Drosophila melanogaster: one gene and its partners. Changing the gene in region 2 together with the main gene of any one other region gives a genetic interaction. Each region holds a gene or a part of one and is shown on either strand. Other genes may lie near its edges.

Evidence for each region. A genetic interaction does not mean that the proteins touch.
Region 1: of cdi (region 2) and boss, changing one suppresses a phenotype caused by changing the other (phenotypic suppression), as found in Drosophila melanogaster (one study listed by BioGRID).
Region 3: of cdi (region 2) and RacGAP84C, changing one suppresses a phenotype caused by changing the other (phenotypic suppression), as found in Drosophila melanogaster (one study listed by BioGRID).

The regions. Positions count from the first base shown.
Region 1 is NT_033777.3:25,959,980-25,969,130, reverse strand, and holds boss (bride of sevenless), read right to left. Parts: upstream 7,138-9,151; 5' UTR 7,088-7,137; intron 5,690-7,087; 5' UTR 5,568-5,689; coding exon 5,516-5,567; intron 5,213-5,515; coding exon 4,742-5,212; intron 4,683-4,741; coding exon 4,233-4,682; intron 4,112-4,232; coding exon 2,652-4,111; intron 2,591-2,651; coding exon 2,333-2,590; 3' UTR 2,183-2,332; downstream 1-2,182. Other genes in the region: CG14540 (uncharacterized protein), read right to left, coding at 7,690-8,468, 8,536-8,659, 8,717-9,151. UniProt on the Drosophila melanogaster protein: Acts as a ligand for sevenless tyrosine-kinase receptor during eye development.
Region 2 is NT_033777.3:19,089,737-19,097,758, reverse strand, and holds the start of cdi (center divider), read left to right. Parts: upstream 1-3,488; 5' UTR 3,489-4,070; intron 4,071-8,022. Other genes in the region: ATPsynD (ATP synthase, subunit D), read right to left, coding at 1,814-2,350; mRpL55 (mitochondrial ribosomal protein L55), read left to right, coding at 2,941-3,117, 3,174-3,320.
Region 3 is NT_033777.3:7,283,882-7,289,811, reverse strand, and holds RacGAP84C (Rac GTPase activating protein at 84C), read right to left. Parts: upstream 3,851-5,930; 5' UTR 3,708-3,850; coding exon 3,388-3,707; intron 3,252-3,387; coding exon 2,444-3,251; coding exon of another isoform or gene 2,420-2,443; exon of another isoform or gene 2,361-2,419; intron 2,324-2,360; coding exon 2,297-2,323; 3' UTR 2,183-2,296; downstream 1-2,182.

The sequences.
Region 1 (9,151 bases), 6.9 Mb from region 2:
ATCCTTCTCACTTGCTCCCGATTACTTTTGATGAATGAAAAGCTTTTTGTTTTGACTTTACCGCTATCTGTGAGTCGCGTGGAAAATTGCCAAGTACGTCGGCGGTGGAGGCGGAAAACTCCCGCCAATGTCGGTGTAGTTGTAAAGTAGCGCCATCCTCTGACGTCTCCGCATAGTAAAAGCTTGTGAGAGGGAAAGTGGGGGCTTCCTGGCTTCCTGGGAATGGGTGGCGCTCGTATCTCGGGCGTCACATGTCTTTTTTTGGGCCGCATGACTAATATAGGCAAATGGCAGGCGACTCGCAGGACGTGGCGCACATTTGGCGACATGCCAGAGTAGATACGCATTCTTAAACAATGTTCTCCTATACTTAAAGAAATATTTTTAAGCACTTCAAACTGCTTTTAAGGGTTTCCAAATATTTTTTTTTTTAAATTGTACTTGACTAACTTAGTGATCATATATGGGATATTTTTGATTTTTTAAATTCTTTTAACAGGCTTTTGGTATAAAGTTTTTCTCTCAGTCTCGAACTTTAACTCGAAATGTCTGATTCTGATTTTTACCGGTAGATGGGTTGATGTCGTCACACCGATGGAAACGCAGCTGAATGATTCACCAGTTGGTGTGCAAGGAATGGTTGTTACGCAGAATGTTTCGACAAAGGAAAAACTTTTCTTTTGCCAGATTGAACTTAACTTAGAAGTTTAGAAGTGGAAGCGACTTTTATGATTGTTTTGGGCTATCTTTAGCGTGGGCCAAGACGTCACAGCCGGTGACGCGTTGAGCTTCGACTTGATATTTTTATTGTAGAGACAGAAACACATCCTGCAGCATAATATATGTGTACATATATATAAATAAATAGATGTCCATGTGCCATTTGATGATTTCTCGCCTTTGGGCGCACGCCTGCCATCTAACGAATGTGGCATCATTAGTTTTGTCATAGTCATAAATCATACGCCCCGTGGACCGCTGCGTAGCCGGCAGCACGCCAAGCAGTGAAGGACGAGCGGAATTGCGGCAGGACTGCATTGCTAATAATGTCACGTAGCACAGCTTTTGACAGTCAAGTGTCACACACACTCCAGCCAGAATCCAAGATTAGGCGCTGCTCAACATGGCCAATTATGGGAGGCGGTTACAAGGATCTGTGGTGCCGCAAAAGTTCCCGTCCATTTACATATTTCTTCTCTAATCTCGCGCAGAAGCACAAAATTTAATTATAAAAACTGTTCTGAAAATTATGCCAAAGCATACGCAAGAACATGGCGGCCATACGAAAATAAACAGGAAAATGGCAACGGGAAAAACTCATTTCGCAGTACTATCGCCGCCCGGCAATCAGAGCCAACCGCCCACGAACGAATCCTTATCCTTATCCCAGTCCCTGCCCAAGACATTTCCTTTTTGTGTGTCGGCAAATGAAGTGCAAATTATGCCAGCGGCCAGTGCAGGGAAAAGCGCGGAAAACAAAGCGCTTTTCGCGTTGCCCCAAAAAGTATGCCATCCACAAACCACAGATTGTGAGGATTTTTCGGGGGGATTTCGGGCGAGATTACATGGTAAAGCATAACTTTATTGAGGTTGGCCTGGATCCCTACAGGATCTACCTCCCACCTGTCACCAACCTTAACCCTCTAATGTTTTGCGCGTGGCATTGTCAGCAAAGTCGGCGCCATTTGAAATGGTCGCGTGTAGTCGGTAGTTTGTGGCAACCTCGCTTTTTTTTTGCCGGCCTTTGTGGCGGCTTGATAGCATATCTTGTTGCGCATTTGTCCATGTACCATGGTCAATGTTCTTGCCCCGGCCAGTGTCACCCTGACGTCAGCGTCCTCCTGGGGCCCCCTTCCACACACCCACTCCTCCAAGGCCAAACAAATGGGCGTCCAATGTCGCGTGACGCACAAGGATATCGGGTCCTGTGATTGCCGTCGTTGTTTCGCCTTAGATGAGTTTTCCTATAGCTCGTCTAGCTTTCGCTGTTTGCCGCCCTGTCACGTGTTTGCCCAGCCAATTAGAGTTATAGGCCGATTAAGCAGGAGCAAGAGGAGAAAGTCGCTGAGCTTTCGCAGCTTTCATTTAGCAGGCGCACAAACCGTTCTGATAAAAATATCTGTTGCGATGAAAAAATTACAGGAGCGGCTCGCTTCAGATTGTGGGCAGAAAAAAGGTTCTTGTGATTATATTAATTTGTATCGATTTATTATTTATTTTATCAACTTCAATAAGTTCTTGGTTCGTCAGTGATTCAAAATGTTGGACAGTTCTTAGCTGAATTCACGTACTGGGAGCGTTGACTAGAAGTGCCACATTGTACACTCGTGGGCTAAAACCGGGTGATCTTGTTGTGATCGGGCGAGGGCGGCAGCGAGGACACCGAGGATCGGGAGGGACTCTGCTGGGGTCGAGGTGGAGGACGTTGTGGATTAATGTTGGCATTGGCCTGGCGGAGATTGGCAAAGAACTGCTGGCGACGTGGGCCACCTCCTCGAAGGGGTAACGTGGGAATCTCACTAGGCGACTGGTGGTTCACCTCATCCTGGGAACAATGGCGCATGGCGGGATTCACGCACTCGTAAACACTCTGTAAGAATAGATTTTAAAGTTAATCAGAAAAGTTTCTTGCTAATTTTCTAGGAACCCACCTGTTCCGAGGAGTATTGATTGTTCTGGGCAAAAGCCAGCGAAGTGAGTGAAGGCAGAGCTTGGGCAATATCCGACCGCTCGATACCCCTTACGATGAGGAAGGTGCGTGGTATCAGAATGCCCACCAGTACCGCCCAACCAGAGGCCTGCAATCCCAATGGAATGGCCGCATCCCTCCACTCGTCCCCGAATAAGGATAGCGCTATCCAGGCCACCCAAATTACCATAATTAAAACCGATCCAATGACAATGAGTATTCCCTCGCGATAGTTTCGTTGGGATCTGTATATAGAGGGTATCAAGGCGCCCACACAGCACAGTAGAGCAAAGTCGTAGGCCAACAGTCCCCACAACCATCGACCATAGTAAATATTCTCACAGGACACAGTCTCCGAGGCGACGTGCATCACCACCAGAAGTTGCACGGACATGCCCACTTGGGCCACAACACTAAAGGCGCAAATCACTGCCTGAATATATCCATTCACATGGGATAGGAAGCCACCTTCGGAACCAATTGAAGCCAACATCACGGCGCGACAGAGGAGCAGGGAAAAAACAAAACAGTAGACCAGAGTCATGATGAACACCCTCACCGCGCACAGGGTATTCAGAGTCTGGGCATCCTCGAAGGTCACATGCGAATTGCGCTGCTCACCCACGTATTCAATCGAATAGGGCACAAAGGAGCAAAACACTAAGATGAGGGAGAGTAGAAGGAGAATCGAGGTGGTCGGATTTCCCTCGAAGACATCGCCCAACGAGATGCGCACCACAATGAACACCAGGATGGCGAGCGTGGCAATCAGGCCCAGGATAGCAGCCGTCAGCCCAGTTGCCACCCATGTGTCCATCTTGATGCGCCAGAACATAACGGATTCACCATCGAAAAGGAATGGATATCTCCTATTGTCACCAGCACTGTACTGGCAGTTGAACACCTGACCAAACTTGGTCTTCAGCTCCAAACTGGTGTGATTGTCCCGATTATAGTGATAGTACGTGGTCACATTGGTCACAAAGTTCTGCGACGCAATCTCGCGCAGTTCGGTACGCGATTCACCTGTGATCTTGTCCAGCGTCAACACTTTCTTCTGGTACATCTGAAAGTTCATGGCGGTGCCCAACTTGCGCATCAGCAGCAGCGACAGGATCTCAGCCGTATCATGGGCTTGTCGGTACTCCGAGGTTCGCCAGTCCTCGATGAAGTTCAGGAAGTTGAAACAGCTCTCCAGCACATACAAGTCGTGCTCCTCACCACGCTTACAGTGCTTGGACAGGGATCCGCGCAGCCAGTTCATCAGGTCGATTATGGAGCCGGCAAAGCTCAGGACTCGCGATGGTAACACACTCTTCCCGATCAGGATCTCGTCCAAAGCGGTGGGCGTGGCGTCCAATTCAACGGCGGTGCTCAGGTCAATTTCGTTTTCCATTAGGACAAAAGCTCTGTTTGGTAAGTCTAAAAAGAAAAGAAGAAATTAATGCGTAAGTAAAATGTATCAGTCTTAATCCTTAACTTAAACAATAAATCAAAAGGACCCACAACTTTAGTAATCCTGTTCGTTGTAGTTATTACCCACCTGCCAGAAATTCATCGTCCGTTCTATCGGTGGGCACGGAAAACAGAGTGCCGTTTTCCTTGAAGTGACTAGCTAGCTTATTGCCAAACATTATGTAAACATTATCGTCACTTTTGAAGTGCATGAGGCACATGTGCTCCTGGCGAGCGGCTTCCATGAATTCATTGTACATCTCCAGCGTTTCGGTTGCTATTTCCACGGATGCGATTTTTTCGCCCCAAGGCATTTGATGCAGCAAGTGCGCAACTTTGGGAAAGAGGTGCGCCCGCGTTCCCGGTATTGGCCAGATATTGTATTCCAAGTCCTTGATAACAGACTCCAGTTGTTTGTACAGCTCCCAGTCAACGAATATGCCCATCGAGTACGTCGTGCACTGCTGCAGAAACTGAACTTCTTGAATAAGCAAGTTCTCTGCCAAGCTGGCGTTGTCGATGCTGATGGCGCGAATTCCTGGAATTCAATAAGAAGGATTTGATTTAGGTGCATATAAATAGCGGAATTTTACAAACCAATTTCAAAGTCTGCCATTATAAGATTCGCCTGGTTCACACGATTGATTACGAACAACGCGGAGTCGGGGTCCTTGGTCAAGACACTGAGCACCACATCTCCTTCGAGTATCTTGACAAACTCCTCCTGCTTCCGTATAACCGTTCCCTCATCCGCACTATTGACCGTCAACTGCAGACCATTGAGACATATTTCCGGCACTAAGCTGGCAGTTGTTCCACTGCTGGGTCCCTCGGTTGTGGATGAGATGAGCGGGGCCAGCTGACCATCGACGGAGCTGGAGACTTCATCATCGGTGGTTGATGCCACCGTTGTTGGGGCCCTTGTGGTAATACTGATGGGCTTGGCCTGCTGACTTGTGGGCTGTGGTTTGGTTATTCGAAGGGGAGCGGACTTCTTGGTGGGTGATGTCAGGTCAGCTCCATGGCACTCCAAGACGCAGAACACAGTGACTAGGATGCATAGAAGAGCTGCAGAGGACAACAATGAATTAAATCTTATTCGTATAAGATGGAAAATATCGTCGTCCTTAAATTTAAAGTAACTTTGTTCTGGTTAGCATGGTTGATTGACTAGTTAATTGATTGAATTACTCAATAAAGGAATTCACTTAAACCATATTTGCAATGGAATTTTCTACACAAACTCAAGCTTGAATGGCATTTTGAGAAAAATACAGGTCTTGAAATATTCCCGGAAAAAGAAATCCCCTCAAGTTGCCATTCATTCCATTGCACTTCACTTCTGCCTTACGACATTTACTCAGCACTCACCCACTGGTAATGGCTTTCTCCGTCCAGATTGCAAAGCGTCCATGACCTTCATTTCTAAAGTTTTAAAGGTTTTACAATTAAATACAAAAAATGTCCGTTGATAATTAAGCAATGCAGCAGTCTTTCCTTCAACATGTACTGATAATTGATATCATTTTATTTTTATTTTGATAGCTAGAAGGAAGAAAGAAAATGGTAAGTTGGATATTAGCCAGTGTGCAGAATTGTATTTTTTATTTTTTGCCGGCCACTTCAACCATTTTGCCGACTGCGTGGAGAGTGCTGCACTTTAATCGCATTAAAAATTGTCACACTAACACAGACTTTGTTGGCTTGGCATAGTTTCCACTTTTCCATGTCTGTTTCTTCGTGATTTTGCCCACTATCAGTGCAAAGTAATACGGTGGAAAAAATTTCTGTTTCGCATATTCTCTCACTTCGGGAAAATCAATAGAGGTTTTTTGTGGAAGCCGAATTCTGGAATTTATGGCACTGCACACACTTATTGCACAGATTCACGCACTAGACCCACTGACAGTCAGAGCCACAATAGTTTTGGGCAACAGCAATTGGCAAAAAAAAAAAACAAAGAAAAAACAACAAGGGAACACAAATTGAACGCCTCAGTGATTTTAGGGTCAATTAAACGTTTCTCGTTTTATATTTGTCCAGTGATGTACGCAGCACTCAAACCGTACATATATATTTATTGTTGGCCCACGAACAACCAATTTGATTTGGTAAGCCCCTGTGTTAACGGGTGCAGCATTGCAGTTGCCCGCACAATGCAATTATGTTCTATTCGATTTTTTTTTTGTCTCTATTTCAGTTTATTTTATTTTAGTTTTTCCGTTTTCGAACCCACCCCCTGGAAAACCGAAGGCGGAACACTGATGTGGCAATGTTTTGCACCTGTTTTGGCCGTTTTGTTTTGACTAACTTGGCTGAGGCCCGGCACTCGCTGGTTGTTATGGTTATTGGCTCAAACAGTCACTCACGAAATTGAGTGCTTTCCACGTCGAGTGTACAATTTCCCATAATTATACAAATAAATATGTACACCCCGAAGCCAGTTCAAATATTGGTCATTGCAATTAGCCAACTTGCTGGGCAAAAGGGTTTCGGGTTTCAGGGTGGAATAGGGTGGCCTGTCAAAGGTGCCGATCAGTAATTGCAATTTGGCCAGTCTTACAGTTCGGCACTTGTGGATAGCTTGCACAATGTTTGCTATCCTCGTTGGTTTATCAAAATGTTTTATTTTATTTTATGGCTATCCAATGCAAACTGTTCAGTGGAATATCCTTGAAAACAGAACCGACACTCGTGCCTTGGGCTTTGACATTCGTATGGCACTTTTCCGGGTTTTGGGGCTTTGCATAACACTTTTAATTCACGTCAAACGCAACATCAGTTGAAAAGTAAGCATTTTCATTTGGCCACGTTGCATAAGTTTAATTTAGAGCTCAATTCCTTTAGGGGGTTTAACTTTAATTGCCCAAAAAGCAACTATATGGCCTTATTAAGCTGTTTGGCTTTTTATTTAAATACTCATTTTACTTTGAATAGACGCACCAATATCTTACCGACGGACCACGTCCACGTTTAAACTGTTTTGGCCAACTGAACTAGCGGAAGAACTTGCAGAGCCGCGACACTCGTAAGCCCATAAAAATGCAGCTGCAGGTTAGGGCTAGTGGGGGTGGTCTTAGGCCTTATTTTCCACTCGACTCAGTTTTACCCGGTTGCCGGATGGGGGTGATGCCTTGTTTTGGCCAGCTCAGTTGATTCTTGCTTTGCAGTCAATATAATATGCACTTATTAGTGACACCAATGGGCATTACTCAGCGAGAATCGGGATTGCCAAGGGCCAAATAGGTCAGTTTTATGCTCAATGTAAGCTGTTCACATAACATAAATAAGAATATGAAAGCCAGTTTTAAATTTTGAACATAGTTTAATTGTGATCCTAAAAATGAATTAAATGAATACATGTACGCCAGGTACGATAAGTTATAGTTAATTTGTCGAAACATTTGATCCAATTTTTTTTGGCTTTACATTATCAGAAATAATTTAGGTCATGCCAAAAGTAATATTTAAATAAGTATTAAGGCGATTTCTAGGAATGGGTTCCCCTTCAGTTTGAATGCTCCTTTATCTTCACTCCAGTGGCTTTACTGACCATCTCCGGCGCCTTGGTTGGCTCCCCTTCGATTTAATTTGCGGTTGGGCCGGCTCGTAGTTGCTCCACTTGGATACTTGAGGCCACAGTCATCGTCCTCGCTGCCGGTCGAGATGTCCGAGGAGAGCTGGAAGTCATCCACTTCGGTGTAGGTCTCATCCGTACTATCGTTGGGCGTTTCGATCTCCGTGTCGTCAACCTTTTTATTTTTCTGACTACCTGCGAGGGTCCTAGAGCTCATGGCTGCTGGCTGACAAAGTCCACCGTTTGAATTTTTCTTGGGTATCAAGATGTCCTCGAGACTGGGCAGTTCAGCCGACATCTGACCATTCATATCCTTCACCTGATTGCAGTAGCGCTGGATATTATCCAGGACTTCTTGCACGCCCACATCAGATGATTTTACAACTAAACTTTGCTCCGATGACGACTTTTGTGCAGCAAGAACTGGCTGCTGAGCTTTGCAGATGCTACGATAGGCACTGGAGTTCATTAGGGACTCGTTATGGTCTTTTTTGGCGCTAATAGGCATTTTGCTTTGATTCCTAATCACTTTTCCTGGTTGTTGTTTTAAACTATGCGACGGTTTCTGTGTCAGATTCTGACTGACTGAGGCCGCTGCTTCTAAGTTCGCCTTCGAAAGACTCAGCATTTCCTGAGTGGGCTTTCCATTCATCAGCGATTGATGCTGGTAAAACATTTTATCGTACTCGGATTTCATGCACAAGTACCGAAAGTGTCGCGAATTTTCCTCACCGAAGTAAATTACCTCTGCAGATGCCAAAAAATAGTTACATATTATAAATACCAAATAAACACTGAAAGTAAATAAACTCACTGCTAATGACTTGTTCCTGCAGCTTATCCAGGTTATCGTTTGTCTGCTTCAACTCGCCCGAGAACCTTTCGATTTTGTGGCTCAGATCGCGAAAGTTCTTTGCCAGAGCATCGGATATGGTGTTCTAAAGAAAGTGCATAGTGTATTAACTAATCAACTAAGGAACTTATGCGAAACTCACGCCAACGGCCGTTTTGACAGTCTGGCGGATCAGGTCAAAGAACTCCTCAGGATCTTCCTCCTTATCTTCATCGTCATCGGCGGTACTCACGTGCACCTTGCTCGCCGGAACAGGCTGTCGCCCACGCATCTGCTTCTGATGCGGATGCGGATGCTGATGCTGATGCTGATGCGGTTGCGAATGCTGGAGGCGCTGCTGTTGCTGATGCTTGAGGTGGTTGTGAGTAGTCATCTGCTGCTGCTGGTGCAGCTGGTGTTGCGGCGGATGCTGCATTGCTCCGGATTGCAACTGCATTTGCATTTGATGGGCATGAGAGTGCGGATTGTGCCGGCGCATATTTCCCATGTTTCCCTGCTGGGGCACCATTAGTTCCTTATCGGAGTAGTCGTCGTTGTCATCCATTGGATAGTCGTTCCTCTGGGTATTGCCCTTTTC
Region 2 (8,022 bases):
AAACCTTTTGTAATGCATTCTAACTCGCCTCGGCTGTGTTGCACTTTTGCAGGCCTATTGATCGTTGTATTAGCCACATCTTGTTAACTCGTTTGCAGATGTCGAGGAAAAGGGAATGCAAAGGCTGCCCCTGCGAGTTGTGTGTGTATGAATATCCCCCATTATAGTAGACTTTGTTGTTTTTGTGCGATGATGAACGATGGTGTAACTTACCCGGGCTGTTTGCAATCCGTACTTTGTGCTGTTGTTTTTGGCCGAGTAGATGCTGCTGCTGCAGTTGCGGTTTCAACTGACTGACAGTCGTTGGTTGGGGGCGTTCCAGGTATCGTTATCGCTTCCAGTGCGTTTTCCAGTCAGCTTTGCTTTTTAAGCTGTGTGTTGTGTATGTGTGTGTGTGTTTCGATTTTTACCTAAGCACTTCACTTGGAAGAAAAAAAAACCATGAATCACTTGCACGTTTTTCGGAGTTATTTGCTTGGCATTATTTGCCTGTTAATTGGTTTCGTTGTTGCTGAATATCGGTCGCAGTATTATTCTTCTTTTTATTTGTATTTTTTTGGTTTGGTTTGGTTTTGGTCGTTTAGAAAGTGGGTTAACGTTAACTGACAGAAGCGCGTCTTTTTAGTTGCGCCTTATGCAAATGGCGCGTATATTAATTCGATTCGAGATTGCTTTCGACTGGTGATGGCAAATTCCAACTTGGTTCAACTTTGTATCTCAGCGATTGATTCACATGCATGTACACTCCGATCGGATCGCTGCGTCTGGCGCTACAACTTGAGATTCCGCTTGAGACGTTTGCACTCCAACTCGATTCGCTCGCGACTGAACAGATCGCGTCGTGCTGCGCGGCATTTGCGGCTCCGATCACGAAGGTGCACTTCGCGGACAAGTTAAGACGCGCGCTGCTGCGGTTTTTTCCTCGCAAAAGGTGAGCTTGTTCGAGTTGGAGCGAGATGGCGAGAGAAACGAGATTTGAGCGGCGACTGAAGCTTTTAACGGCTTTCGGAGAGCCAAACAAGATGGCACTGCTTGAATTCTCTCAAAATAAATGCTAGCAGTGCTCAGTCTTTCAACCAATAAACATTTGAAAAATATACTAAGGCGATCGGGAAAATCCAGTTAGAATATACTGCCTGTAGTGCGGACACAAACCAAGGTAGAGGTTTAAAAGTATTAAAATCCAGCGGTGTGGCAATAAGGAGCAGGAATTCCCACTTACTGTGCCGCCTCTAACTCATCGACGCTAATTTGACGCACATTAAATTTCAATATAAAGTACTTTCGGAATTATTAAATTTTTTAGAAATCAGGAAGTGCTTTTCATTCCCAGAAACCGACATCTCTGGGAATTTATTTGCCACCGCCCACAAGAGGGAGCTTTAGTTTCATTTAGCAAGTACAACATCCGCATTTAGCGGAGTCTAGCACCACCATTGGTGCCGATTAGTAATTTTAATTTTTGTTTAAGTTTAAGTTTGAATTGTAGCCAATTTGCTTATTTATTTATTTGTGCATTTGATTTTTATCTATTAGCTTATAAAACTGCAAGGACCGGCTATCATTTCCAGTGCATTGGGCTGTCAAATTGATTGTTTTCTCAATTTATTTCATTATTTTGATTTAAGGATCCCATTTTCTTTATGCATATCCATCCAACAAGATGTCACATAGACAACAAATGCAAATTAGATACCGTAACTGTCATTTGAAATGAATTTAATTTGGGTAATTTACTTCAACGCGGATTACATTTCGAATCGAACAGACGACCAACGAAGCCAGTGTCAGAGTGCTCCTCGTGCGCTCCGGTTTAGTGGTGTCCCTGGGCTTCGGCCTCCAGCTGCTCCTTGGACTTGTAGCCGACCTGCTCCTCGGGAGTGTGGGGCCAGAAGGTGGGCTTGTTGAGGGGATCGAGTGCGCTATCGGGGAATGCGTCGCGGTAGTCCTCCATGGTCATCTGGTCGTAGGGCAGCAGAGACTTGAGATGGGCGATCTCCTTTTGGTAGTTCTGAATGCGCTGCTCCGAGGCCTTCTTGTAGGCATCGATTTCGCTCTGCGACGCCTTGATCTCGGCATCCACCTGGGACGACACCTTGTCCTGGGGATAGGGCACCTTCAGGGCTTCGTACTGCTTCTGGAAGCTATCGACGAGTCCGGCCACTGGCACAAGCTTCTTGTAGTTGGCCCAATCGATCTGGGGTGGGCACTCGGGATTGGCCAGCACGGCGCGCACATAGATGTCCGACTTGGTCTTGAAGGCGCCGAAGCTGCTCTTCTGGTTGGCGGGCACGCGCTCGGCGAGAGCGGACCAGTTGATCGAGGATTGGGCGATACGGCGGGCGGCCATTCTGCACAGATACTGCAAGACAACAACAAAAGCGGGGATGAGGTTAGGTTTTTGGGTTTATAGAGGTGGTAAGTGATTTCTAGGTGTCCTGGAACTGTGCAGCGATATTCTTATTAGTTGAAATGTAATCTCTGCTTCTTTAGTTGCAGACTTATCGACATAATGCACGGCGAGTTATGCTCGCAAAAATTATGTAATTTTTTTCAATCCTCAATGTTCCTTCAAACTAAAAACGCGTTTGCAGTCCTTTCCTCGAGGCTTGCAGACTAATCGCTGTTGTAGCCCAACCGTGCGCTTTTTTTTTATTATTTTTGCAGTGTTTAACGTAACGTACTTATATTTTCAAGGAGAAAAATAAGAATTTCTGCCTCTGCAACCAACACTTACACTTTGAGTACGAATGTGACCAGAGCTGGGGAAAATACCACATAATGTGGAAACTGAACCAGGGCTACCACAGATTCTTAATAACTAATTTAGGAGTCTTTAAATCTTACCCTCGGGTCGGTCACACTATCAGCTGCCTGGCAGCAAAAACACGATTTAAGTGTAGCTCTTATTTAGTGTAAATATTGTGATTATCAATTAAAATGTTGCTGAAACAGTTGCCCCAGGCTGTTCAGCAGATACGCTGCATCTCATCGGCCACGACGGCGGTTACCAGGCTGCATCGCTCGGTTTACTGCCGGCTATATCCCACAGTTGTGGTGCAACCCGATGGATCCACGATAAACATCCGCTATCACGAGCCCAGGAAGATTATCAAGGTAACGTTAGTTACTATAACTTAACGAAACCATAATTAACGAGTACCATCTACTAGCTTCCCTTGGATCTGAGCACCTTAACCGATGCGGAGCGCAGAGCGAGATTGGAGGCCCGCAAGCCGCGCAAGAAGGTCAAGATCATGGAGGAGGTGGAGGACAACTTCAACGCCAAGAAGTACATGAAGTACATCAAAAAGAAGTAGCCGCATTTTATTCACTATTTGTTAAATAAAACACGAAAGCCCGTTATATAATTGTTTTAAATTAGAATTAAGAAATTGTGCTCGTTATCGATAGTGTATATCGCACATCTGGTATTTTTGTTATCGGTTTCAGCATGGGCCCTCCACTTTTTTCCACCATCCCACAACGGTCACTCTAATCGAGTCGGAAAACAAAGTCGGACGTCTAGCTGCGCGTCGCTCCCGAAGAACTGTTAATTTGTGGACGCTTTTTCGCGAGTGCAGACATAAATGAAAGCAACATATCTTTAGCTCCATTCCAGACTGGATCATAGGCTATAGCCCGTTAGAGCAGTGCCAGTGAATCGGTTACCGAATTATAATCTCGCTCTGCGTCGGCTGAGTGGTAATGTTGAATGGACAGTCGCGTCTAACAAAAAAAAAAAAAAACAAGTACACACAACCAACGACGAATGCACATAAACAAGACGAGACAGCAAACGCAGAATCGAGTGAAAACCTATTTTAAAACACCAGAGCTATATTTATTTTGTTGACGCTCAGGATTTTCGGTCCTCGCATTTGTGATGTCTGCGGGTGCGTGTGAGTGCGCGAGTGCGAATGTGTTGGTTGCATATCACGGCGGATGCGAATAACTGCAATTGCAATAGAGAGCAGACACATACACACAAACACAAGCATAATTGGATTATGGCCACACGGCAATAAGAACGGAGGGAGAGAGAGAGAGCAGTCGCCAAAACCAAACGGGTAAATAAATAGTATTAGCAGAAATCGGTTAAAAGCCAGAATTAAATGGATTAGACCTGTGCTATCGTTGGCATTTCCCCATCGCTGTGTGCGTGCGTGTCTGTGTGCGGAAGCAACCTAGAGATGGGCCTGACCTTAGCTTTCGCACACTGCCTGCCAAAAGTTGCCACCCGCTGCTTTCGCTGCATCTTGACACAACATGGTTTTCAAGGTTCTACCGAGATAAAAACACAAATATAATTTCGTAACGGGAAATGCAAAATTGTCATGTACTATTGTATATTTAAACATTTAGAATTGAGGGTAAATAGGTTTGCAATCTTATATTTTAACTTACGTTGATTGTATTTTGTCTTAAATATAATAAAACATAATGCGTAAATAATGTGTCTATTTATACTTCGTAAATGCTAAATTTAAAGTAAACATTGTAGAGCTAAAACTTGTTACTTTTTCACATCTGTTTCGAATAGCATAGCCATATGATCTAATTTGAAAAGCAAATGCTTAAATTTTTTGTGAGCTCAGCAGAATCATTTCCATATTCATTTGAATCGAACCTGTTGTCACCATGCGATGCACTCGGAAATCTGGCTCATCTCTAACACGTGCGTGTGTGCGAGCGTCTGGAATTCGAAATTTGAAATTCGAAATGGGGAAGGTTTTGTGCGAAGGGGAGCGTAAATATTTTCGTAAGCAGCGGAAATGTAAAAATAACACAAACACATTTGCAAGTTATGATGAAGATGCTTCCGATGTTGGTGCTGGTTTTCCCAGCATTCGCTCTCTCCTTAGTCTCAGTTTCTCCCTTTTTTTCCGATTCGGTCGATTCAGCGGAAAGACAGTTTTCCACGTAAAACTGCGACAGATGTTCACGGCTCATTATCCGGGGATCGAGAAGCTATAGCTCCCAATTCGAATGCACATTCCACTTGGGTTTCCTCCCGAAATGCAGCTGCCCTATTGGGATTTTGCCGGTTTGGTGGTTGTTGGCTGTTGCTACTGCTGCATTTTTGTGGTGTTTTTTTTTTTTTCGTTGTGGTCTTTCGTGGTGTTTATAAAATTAACAGTAAACTCCCCCGTACTTCCGCCCTTGGCAGCTGGCTGTTAATGCTGCCTAAGCTAATTTGTTTTCATTTGTGTGTGTCCGCATAGAGGGGAATAAAATAAATAAAATAAACGAAACGATTTGTGCTCACTCTACGCGCCCTTCCTATTGTATTTGTTATTGTTCGATTTTTGCACCTCCTTCGGTTGCATTCATCAAGTGTTTTGTTTTGTTCGATCTTCTTATAGGACTTGCACTTGAGGCTGAAAATAAACCCATTTGGTTTTCGTTTTTGTTGACGTTCTTGTTGGATTTCTTCGATCCTAAAGTTTATTTACGTATAGTTTTGCTGCAGATCGATGGGCGGCACGTGAGTGCCCTCCCCCCGAAAGCCGACTGGCTGCCAATTAGTCGAAATGTCTAAATGGCGCAGTGATCGTTGGACATTCAGAAATAGTTTAGAAAACGACGGTTCTGTACCAAAGGAAAGTGAAATTTTTGTCTGCCCGGCTAATTAAGCTTATCTTATGCTTTCAGTCGAAAATTCCATTGCCTTTGAATTTATTTGGTAGATTTGTATACACACATATTTCTCCTCGCTTTCCATTTCGTTACGTGAATCACTTGTTGTACGGCCTCTGGAGTCTAAACTTTAAACTCAAGAGAATAAAAAACTAACGATAACTGGCACCTCACACCTTCGATGGGCTTGGAATTTATTCAAAATACACCAAATTTACATACATAGATTCTTTTTCATAAGTAGGCATACATATAGGTAGAGAGCGGATGCAGCCAGCACCTCCCCGGCTGAATGAGTTGGTAGTTTTTCCAAGTGTGGGTGTATCTGTATCTCTCAGATAGCCAGCGATATATAGGCGTAGAAGAATTTATGAGCGCGACAACGACATGAATTTCATTCAGTCTTTGTTGTTTCTGTGGGCCCAAGAGTGTGCCATGTCCCATTTTCCACTTCTTTTTTTTTTGTGTTTCTCGGTTTTTGTTGTTCTTTGATAATTTTGCTCTGCCTCGGCGTCTCATCTCTTTGTTTATAGAAATTTCTTCTTCTTGAGCTGCCTTGGCTTCTTTTCGCCGTCTCCTCGTCTTTGTTTTTCTTTCTACACGGCAATGAAGTGGCATTTTTTCTGCCGCTGACCAACTTTCCTTTTCATTAACGCTTTTTTCGGACTCTAAACGCAAGACGCTTCCTGAACGCATCACTTCTCGGTGCGTTACTTGCTCCCTACTTGAATGTGCCTGAACAGCAAATCATTTCCAATTTCATAACCAAGATTTATGCCTCTTTAATGGCCCAGCTGAAACGATGCAGTGTGCATTGCACACAATTCTCCTGGCACGCGTCTACGTAGGCGAAGATACCACGATGATGCTGCTGCTGATGATGATGATGATGCAGACGGTGGTGGCCGCGACGACCCTTGGCCCCATAAAAATGCAACTTGATCTCACAGCACGGCAACAAAGTCACCGCAGTCGACAGCGGTTTATTGACTCGAACCTTGTGGCGGTTAACGGTTTAACATTCGTTTTGGAAAATGCCATAAACGCCATCGAAAGCAAACGGCGATAAGTGGTGTGCTGAAATTAATTTCATTGGTTTCTCTCTAGCAAACATATTAGGAAATGTATTAATTAAATAGCCTCGATTTTGAACGATTAGTAGAGTTAATATTTGGAGAAAAGTTGTTCTTAAGTCGGTGCAGAATCCCACCAACTTTCAGATATAGAAACTTTCTTGCCTAAGTCAACTTGTTGATGTAGAAATACCTATTATCTGCTGTTTTGAACGTGATTTCTTTAGTTTTGAGTTCTTGCGACACCACAAGATGTATTTTCTAAAATTGCCTAAATTTATTGCACGTCGTGTTCCGCCTTTTTTTTTTTTAGATTTTTAAATTATATTCAGCTGCTTCAATGCCTTTAGGGCATTTAATCTTCGTGGAACTGCTGACTTTTAAGATTGCAGCATTCCGGTGTTGTGGGGCTCATCATCTATTTTCCATATGTTTGGCAACAACCACGGATGCGGACTGACATTTGTTTGGCTGCCATTCCTATTGAAACATAAATATTTTGATGCTTTACTGCTGCGGCTTTCCACGCGGAATACATGTGTATATAGTTTGAAACGTGATGGGAAAATAAATGTATGCAAGAGTCGAAATAAAAGCGACCGCTTAAGTGTTTTTCTCGACTCGATAGATTTGCTCACCCAAATCGGTAACGAAAATCGTTGCTTGGGGCCTTGACTTAGTTTCGCGGAGCGTGCTAAACTCATTTTTGTGGGCCACGAAATGGATTTTCCTCTTCATCGATGATAGGCACTCTCTCCCCAGCTAACTCTTCACCATGATAGCCGAGTTTAATGTTTACAATTTTTTTTTAAAAATATATTTAAGTTTGCCACTCATTAGGGTGTATGGAAACTTTCACAGCTGACTGGTGAAGATAGCACGTATTCATTTCACAGCTCAAAACGAGATAATTTGACAAAGACCTGCCTGTAATTGGACAACTGTATTCTGGGGGCGTGGTGGGCGCGAAAACGATCCTTGGGTGCTATTAAGTCGAAGCCACAAGCCCACTTTTTGCTGCAGCTCTTCGTTTGTCATGGCACCTAATGAAGTGTAGCACTTTTTCCCCGGCCGCTTCATTTGGCCAAAAGCTTTCGTTGTCGTCAATTGGCGGCGGTTAGCCGCAATTGACCCTAATTATGGCCTGCTGCCGGCTTTGACTTCAACTGGCTATTTGGACAGATTTCGCAAGAGAAGGAAAGACACACACAAAATGCCAAAACGGCAAATAGCAAATAGCAAATCCCAATTCGCATAACTTCCCCGTTTATTTGCCGAGTGCAAAAATGTGCTTGGTAATTTGAGTTTT
Region 3 (5,930 bases), about 12 Mb from region 2:
CACATTATTTTAAAATAATTTTTTAAATAAGTAACTAAGAGCCTTTATTGAATACAGAATTTCTGATGAAGCGTAAAACTAAAAAAATATTAAGCTTTAAGGACCTCACCGTTAAATCCAACACGCAAAAATGCATTCTGTATTTAATAATTTCCCTGCATATTTTTAAGCTTTTTAAAACACTCCACAAATAACATTCCAAACTCAACGCAAATATTTATTTTCCCAAGGAAAGTCCTTATTGTAATTGAAATCCTTTAAAAACAAAATTAATCACGGACATGTATTTTTTAAAGTTTTTTTTACCATCAACAAAATATTTGTCTTATCCACAAAAAACGGCAAGAAGAATACGGAAAAAGGGAACTTTTTTATGGACCACATGCCGCGCCCACTTGTTTGGGCCGACCGACACAAAGCTTACATAAAATTATAGAACACGCCTAGCAAAGCGGCAAAAAAGTGCAGCATTAACTGAAATAAACGCAAAAGTGCGCTGCGATTTTTACCCTATCTTATTATTAGCACCACGCTGTGCCAGTATTGGTGAGCGATTCTGGTTTTCAGTTTTTCTTTCCGCTCCACCTCGCCACGCATAATACGCTTCCTACTATTTTTAACTGCAATTTTTTAGTTTTGTTTGACATTTGCATTTACTTTTTTCCATTATTCTTTGCTGCGCTTTCAACTTTGTGTGAGCTCATGTGTGGCAGGCACTAACACAATTACACAAGTGGTTAGTGGAGCGGGGGGGCGCGACCGGGAGGGGGCGTGGCGGTTTTGGCGGTATGGGGCAAGCTCACACTATCAATTAGTGAATTACATGCGAACAACGAGCGGAAAATGCCCGAGCGGGTGAAAAACTGCCGACAAAAATAGAAAAATTGCACAAATTTGTTGCGCACATCAAAACAAACACACGCACACACACAGACACGCGAGAGCGTGAGCACATACACACACACTCACTTGCATGCTCCACTTCGGTGGACTGTGTCTGTTATTCCCCTCATTTAATTAACAATAAAAATAGGCTAAAAAGTCTTAAAAAAGCAAAAACTGCACGCGAATTATGCAGGCGCACACAAACAAGCCACACACACTCACATACATTGCAGTCATGCCATTTGTTAAACAATTTTAACTCGCGCCCCCAAGTAGGCAATGTTTTCCGCACACGCACACGTACACACACACACACACGCACACATGCAGAGTGGCGCGGCGGCGAGCATTAAAATGTGATCCGATATAATACATGAATTATGTAAACTATTTTTATTTTTGTTTTGCCTATTTATTTTTGCATTTTTTCGCTGCATTTTTCTGACACGGTATTGGTGCGAACTGCCCCTAAAAAACGCGCTGGTGTGCGTGCCTGCGTTTTGTGGCCTTTGGCATTAGCATTTGGTTAACGTTAACGGGCGACCACTGCAACAATTGCCAGCCCATTTGATATTTGTGGCGGTTAGCAACAGAAGCGCACTGCAAATGCTCTTCCCTCCCGGCCCTCGTTCGCCACTGCTCGCACACGCTTGCCGTCTCGCTTTATGTTTGTTTTGATTGTATTATACATTATTTGGACCATGTACGAGTATTGGCTTGGGATCGGATCGACTGATATTGGGAGTGAGTCTATTTATGCACTCGTCCAGTGCATTCGAGTTTTGTTTTGCTTTGCTTGTTTTTTGCATTTAATGGCCGCACTTTTTTGCACGGCACTCTCCAAATTGTTTTTAAAATGCTAACTTTTTTCTTGGCGCTTTAACTTATTTATATGTGTTCGCGGCAAAATATTTTACTTTGTGCTTTGGTTTACGCTTCAAAGAAACATAAATATGGGAAATGGAAATTATTAATTTTTTACATGTTTTCAACGGTTGGGAATTAATCAACGTTCGGCGAAAAAAATTGCAAATTCAATTAAAAATGTTTATTAATGTTTCAATACTCGAAATATATAGTTTTGCGATAACGTCGCTCTGGGCCATGCTAGATTATTTATGTGGTGCGAATAAGATTTTGGCCTGGCTTTATATTTAATTAGCCGAATTTCATATATGGAAATAATGGGTGTTTTCTGAGAGTATCTTTTGGTGATTCAATAAATCAAGTATTGCACTTGAGATGTCAAGTACTCTTGTTAGCCGCATATAATTCAACAACACATACACAACATGTTAGAGATCCAATTATTATTAGTTCTTCAACTGTAGTGAATAATGAAAAAAAATACAAAATAAAATAAAAAAGGGTGACTGCATCCATTCTCGATGTCTCAGTCATAAGACTTTCACTATAGGTGAGTACTGCTAAGGTTGACCTGAAACAGGAAGTATTCAGTGAAAGATTTGTATGATATGTTTGATTGCTTGTATTGAGTTTGGCTTATTCGAATATGAAATTCTATCCAAATCCGTTAAAGGGAAACCATAGGTCTTACCATTGATCTAAAGTAGGTCTTAACAGAAGACCATCCCAGATTGGACGAGCTGTCCCAGTGACGGTGATTGTACCGGTCCTCAAAGTCATAGGTGCTGCCCAACGAAGTGGGAAGGGGATGGACCTCCAAGAACTGAGACCAAAATCCGGCAGGCATCAGAAGTAGCACCTTCAGCACCCGCTGCCAAGTGACGACATTTTCGAGGGTTAGATCCAGATCTCCGAACAGAGTTGGAGCGAAGATCACGGCAAGATTGTTGACCGTCATGCGGACAGCAGGACTTTCGGCAATTTTCTGCCAGTGAAGCATTAAGTAGGCCAACGTATCCCTGTGAGCCTGATGCAGCTCCAGAACCGCTAAATATACCGCCATCTCCACAGCCAGACGATCTTCGTGCCGCGTGGCCTCCTCGAAATCCCTTCGGTGGTAAATGGGAATCAGAGGGTGAACCAACTGCCGAAGAAAGTCCTTAACACAACAGCACAGTGTGTGGGTGTCTTTATTGCCCAAATGCGGCGTGGACTTGCCACGCAGCAGCTTCCGACGCAGTCGTTTGCATTTCTCTCGGGTGGAGGACACCCGGTAGAGTCCCTCCTGCTGCAATCCCCGCGCCTCGATCTCCGTTACACAATGGACAATTAAGGCCGGCACCATGGGCGCCACCCGAGGCGCATAATCGCTGAGACATCCTCTCTTCGTACCGATTTGAGGCTGGGGGATGCAGTTCACCGTCAGCTGGCGGCAGCAACCGATGTGGCAGCGGAGCGGACACGCCCGACACCTCAGGCTGGCCATGGCGAAGCGGATCCTGGAAGAAGACCAGGGACACGCGGTTAGGGAGGTAAATGCTGGTCAGAGAGGGTTGGGATGTTATTTAACTTTTCATGTTTTCCCTGAATTCGAAATCCTCTCAGAAGTTCCACCATTCGGTGATTGCAACTCACCTTTTGCGGCAGTGTACGCAGTTCCCCACGTTGTAGTAGTAGGACTTAATCTTGAAATTGTGCTCCCTCAGCAGCCCCGAGTGGGACTGCGAGCAGAAGTCGAGTCCGTCCGTGGATAAGCCATCGCAGCCACTGGGATTCATGTCCACGCGATCCTGCAGCGAGTCCAGGGACTGCGATCCAAACATGCGGTAGTGCTCGCTGAGGTCATCGTAGGACCTGTACTCCCGCAGAAGCCTCCGTTTGTTCTGCATCGTGGGGCGAACGGGCGACAAATAAAGTCGATTTGAGGGCGTCCGACTCCCAGAGCCACTAATCATAAAGTTGGCGAATTGATTCAGCTGTTCTGGTCAGTTGGCAATTTCCGAAGAGAGGCCACTTCGGCTTGAGTCAGCTACGCAGAAGTTATCGGCTCGCTTCTCCGAATACTCGACCGAAATGTTTATTTACTCTTACGGTTTATTTGGAATCGGGTGAAAGCTGATAGCTTAAATAGTTCTGGCAGCACAAAAATTCGATCACCCATAGAGAGTGCCTACTGTGGGTCGTACATTTGTAAATATTTCTGGATAATTCATACACACATCTAGGGTGCTCCGCAGAAATTTAATGGGCGACTAAGGTGTTACTAAGAAATATCAAAAATGCTGTTTTCAATACAAAAAAAAAGTGAATCAAATTATTATAAACATTTTTTGTGCCTAACAATAACAGATATTTGCCCTGTCTTCTTCATATAAACAAGTCAGTGGTGATCTTTTTATATTTTCGATTCAATTAAATCGTTAAAGACAATCAATCACACCGAGATTCAATGTCACGATACAAAAGCTAAAAATCCCTAAAAACAAAAAGAATGTAGAAAATCGAACTAAAAAAACAATTTGCTAAAGTATCTATGAATTCTAAGCGCCCAGAAAATGGCTCAATGGCGCCGCTAAATGGATGAAAAATTCATGGAAAACCGTTTTGCGGCCACCAGACATAGAATGCAACCAGCAAAAATGTAGCACGAAAAAATGCTGCAGTTCATGTGAGGCCGGAACGTCAGAAAGCGAAAATGTTGAGTAAACGTGCTGCTAAAAAAACACAAAAATTAGAATTTAAAGGGACTTCGAGCTTGGAACTTTTGTGGAAAACGAAACATGGATCTGTCTGTTGATTTAATGGCATCATTGGCATTGATTTTTATGCGATTTTAAAGTTTGGATAGAGTAAAAACAAAATTATCATGGCACTTTTCAGTTTTGGGCTGTGAATTGAAGAGCAGCGCCAGCAAAATTAACGAGCAAGGCGGGGAATTGGATTTTTATGCTTTTTTGTAGTCGTTTTTTAGGCGTCAGCTGCATTGACGCCGGTGTGCCTATGTGTGCGTGAGCATTTGAGGGTGTGGGTTTAGGTGTGTGTGAGCTTTGGGCTGAAATACTAAGGATGGTTGCCACTGCCACATTGAATTCGTAGTTATTAATGCGTATTGAAATGCACACATTGCAGTGAGTGAGAGTGTCTCTCTCTGTGATTATGCGGCGTGTGTGTGGGCGTAGTATTCATAATTGCACTTGTGTGGGCTTCTATCTGTGTCCGACTGTTTTGTTTGTATTCAAAGTCCACAAATACGAGTCACGCATCGCAATAAGCCCATGCAATCCCCTGCCTCACTCCTCACTCCACTTTTCCCAAAATGCTTTTTTGTACTTTTTCTGATTCGCCTCTGACTGTGTGTGTTCAAATACGTGTGTGGCCCTATGTGTGTGTCTGTCCGTTGCGTATTCCAAAAAGCAAAAAAAAAAAGTACAGAAACACAACAAAACAGCATAAAAAATGTTTGGACATCCACAAAACATACAAAAAAGAGGGGAGTTCTGGGCAAAAACGAGTGGGAAAAAATGGCATCAAAGCACGTTGACAGTGTTGCCACGTGGTGATAATTAATTTTTCACACACAAAAGTTGATCAAAATGTTTTTATCCGGTGCCTCCAAAATTTAAGGAATTATTTGGTTGCATCGAGCTCAAAATATTTCAACTTTAAAGCTTCTTAACAGAATGAAAAAGTTTAACGCAATTGTTATAGATTCAGGATGTTGCTTAAAAACATCTTAGCACATGGTTTTCTGTACTAAAACCATGAAATCAGCAATTAATTAATTAAAAGTCTCAGATGTATATCATTTAGCTACTAGGGAACACTCTTAAAATATCCACATAGAAATAGAAATATTAACACCCACCAGTATGTGGGATAAAACTAGATATTCAAATTCTGAAAAGCTGGCCTACACATAAGATGACCAATATGATTTTAAGGACAAAAAATCAGTTCACTAAGTGACCTTTTGTGAATTGAACTATAAATCGCAAAACAACCTGTTAAAGAATTCCGCCTCAATCGTCGCTTTGTCTAACCCAATTCTAGTTGGGCACTAAAAACAACAATTTATAATAAATTGTATTTTTCAATGGCAACTCTGCTATTTTTTAAGACTCTTCCTCTCCCTTTCTTTCTGCCGCCGGCCAGGATGCAAAAACCTAAAAAACAAAATC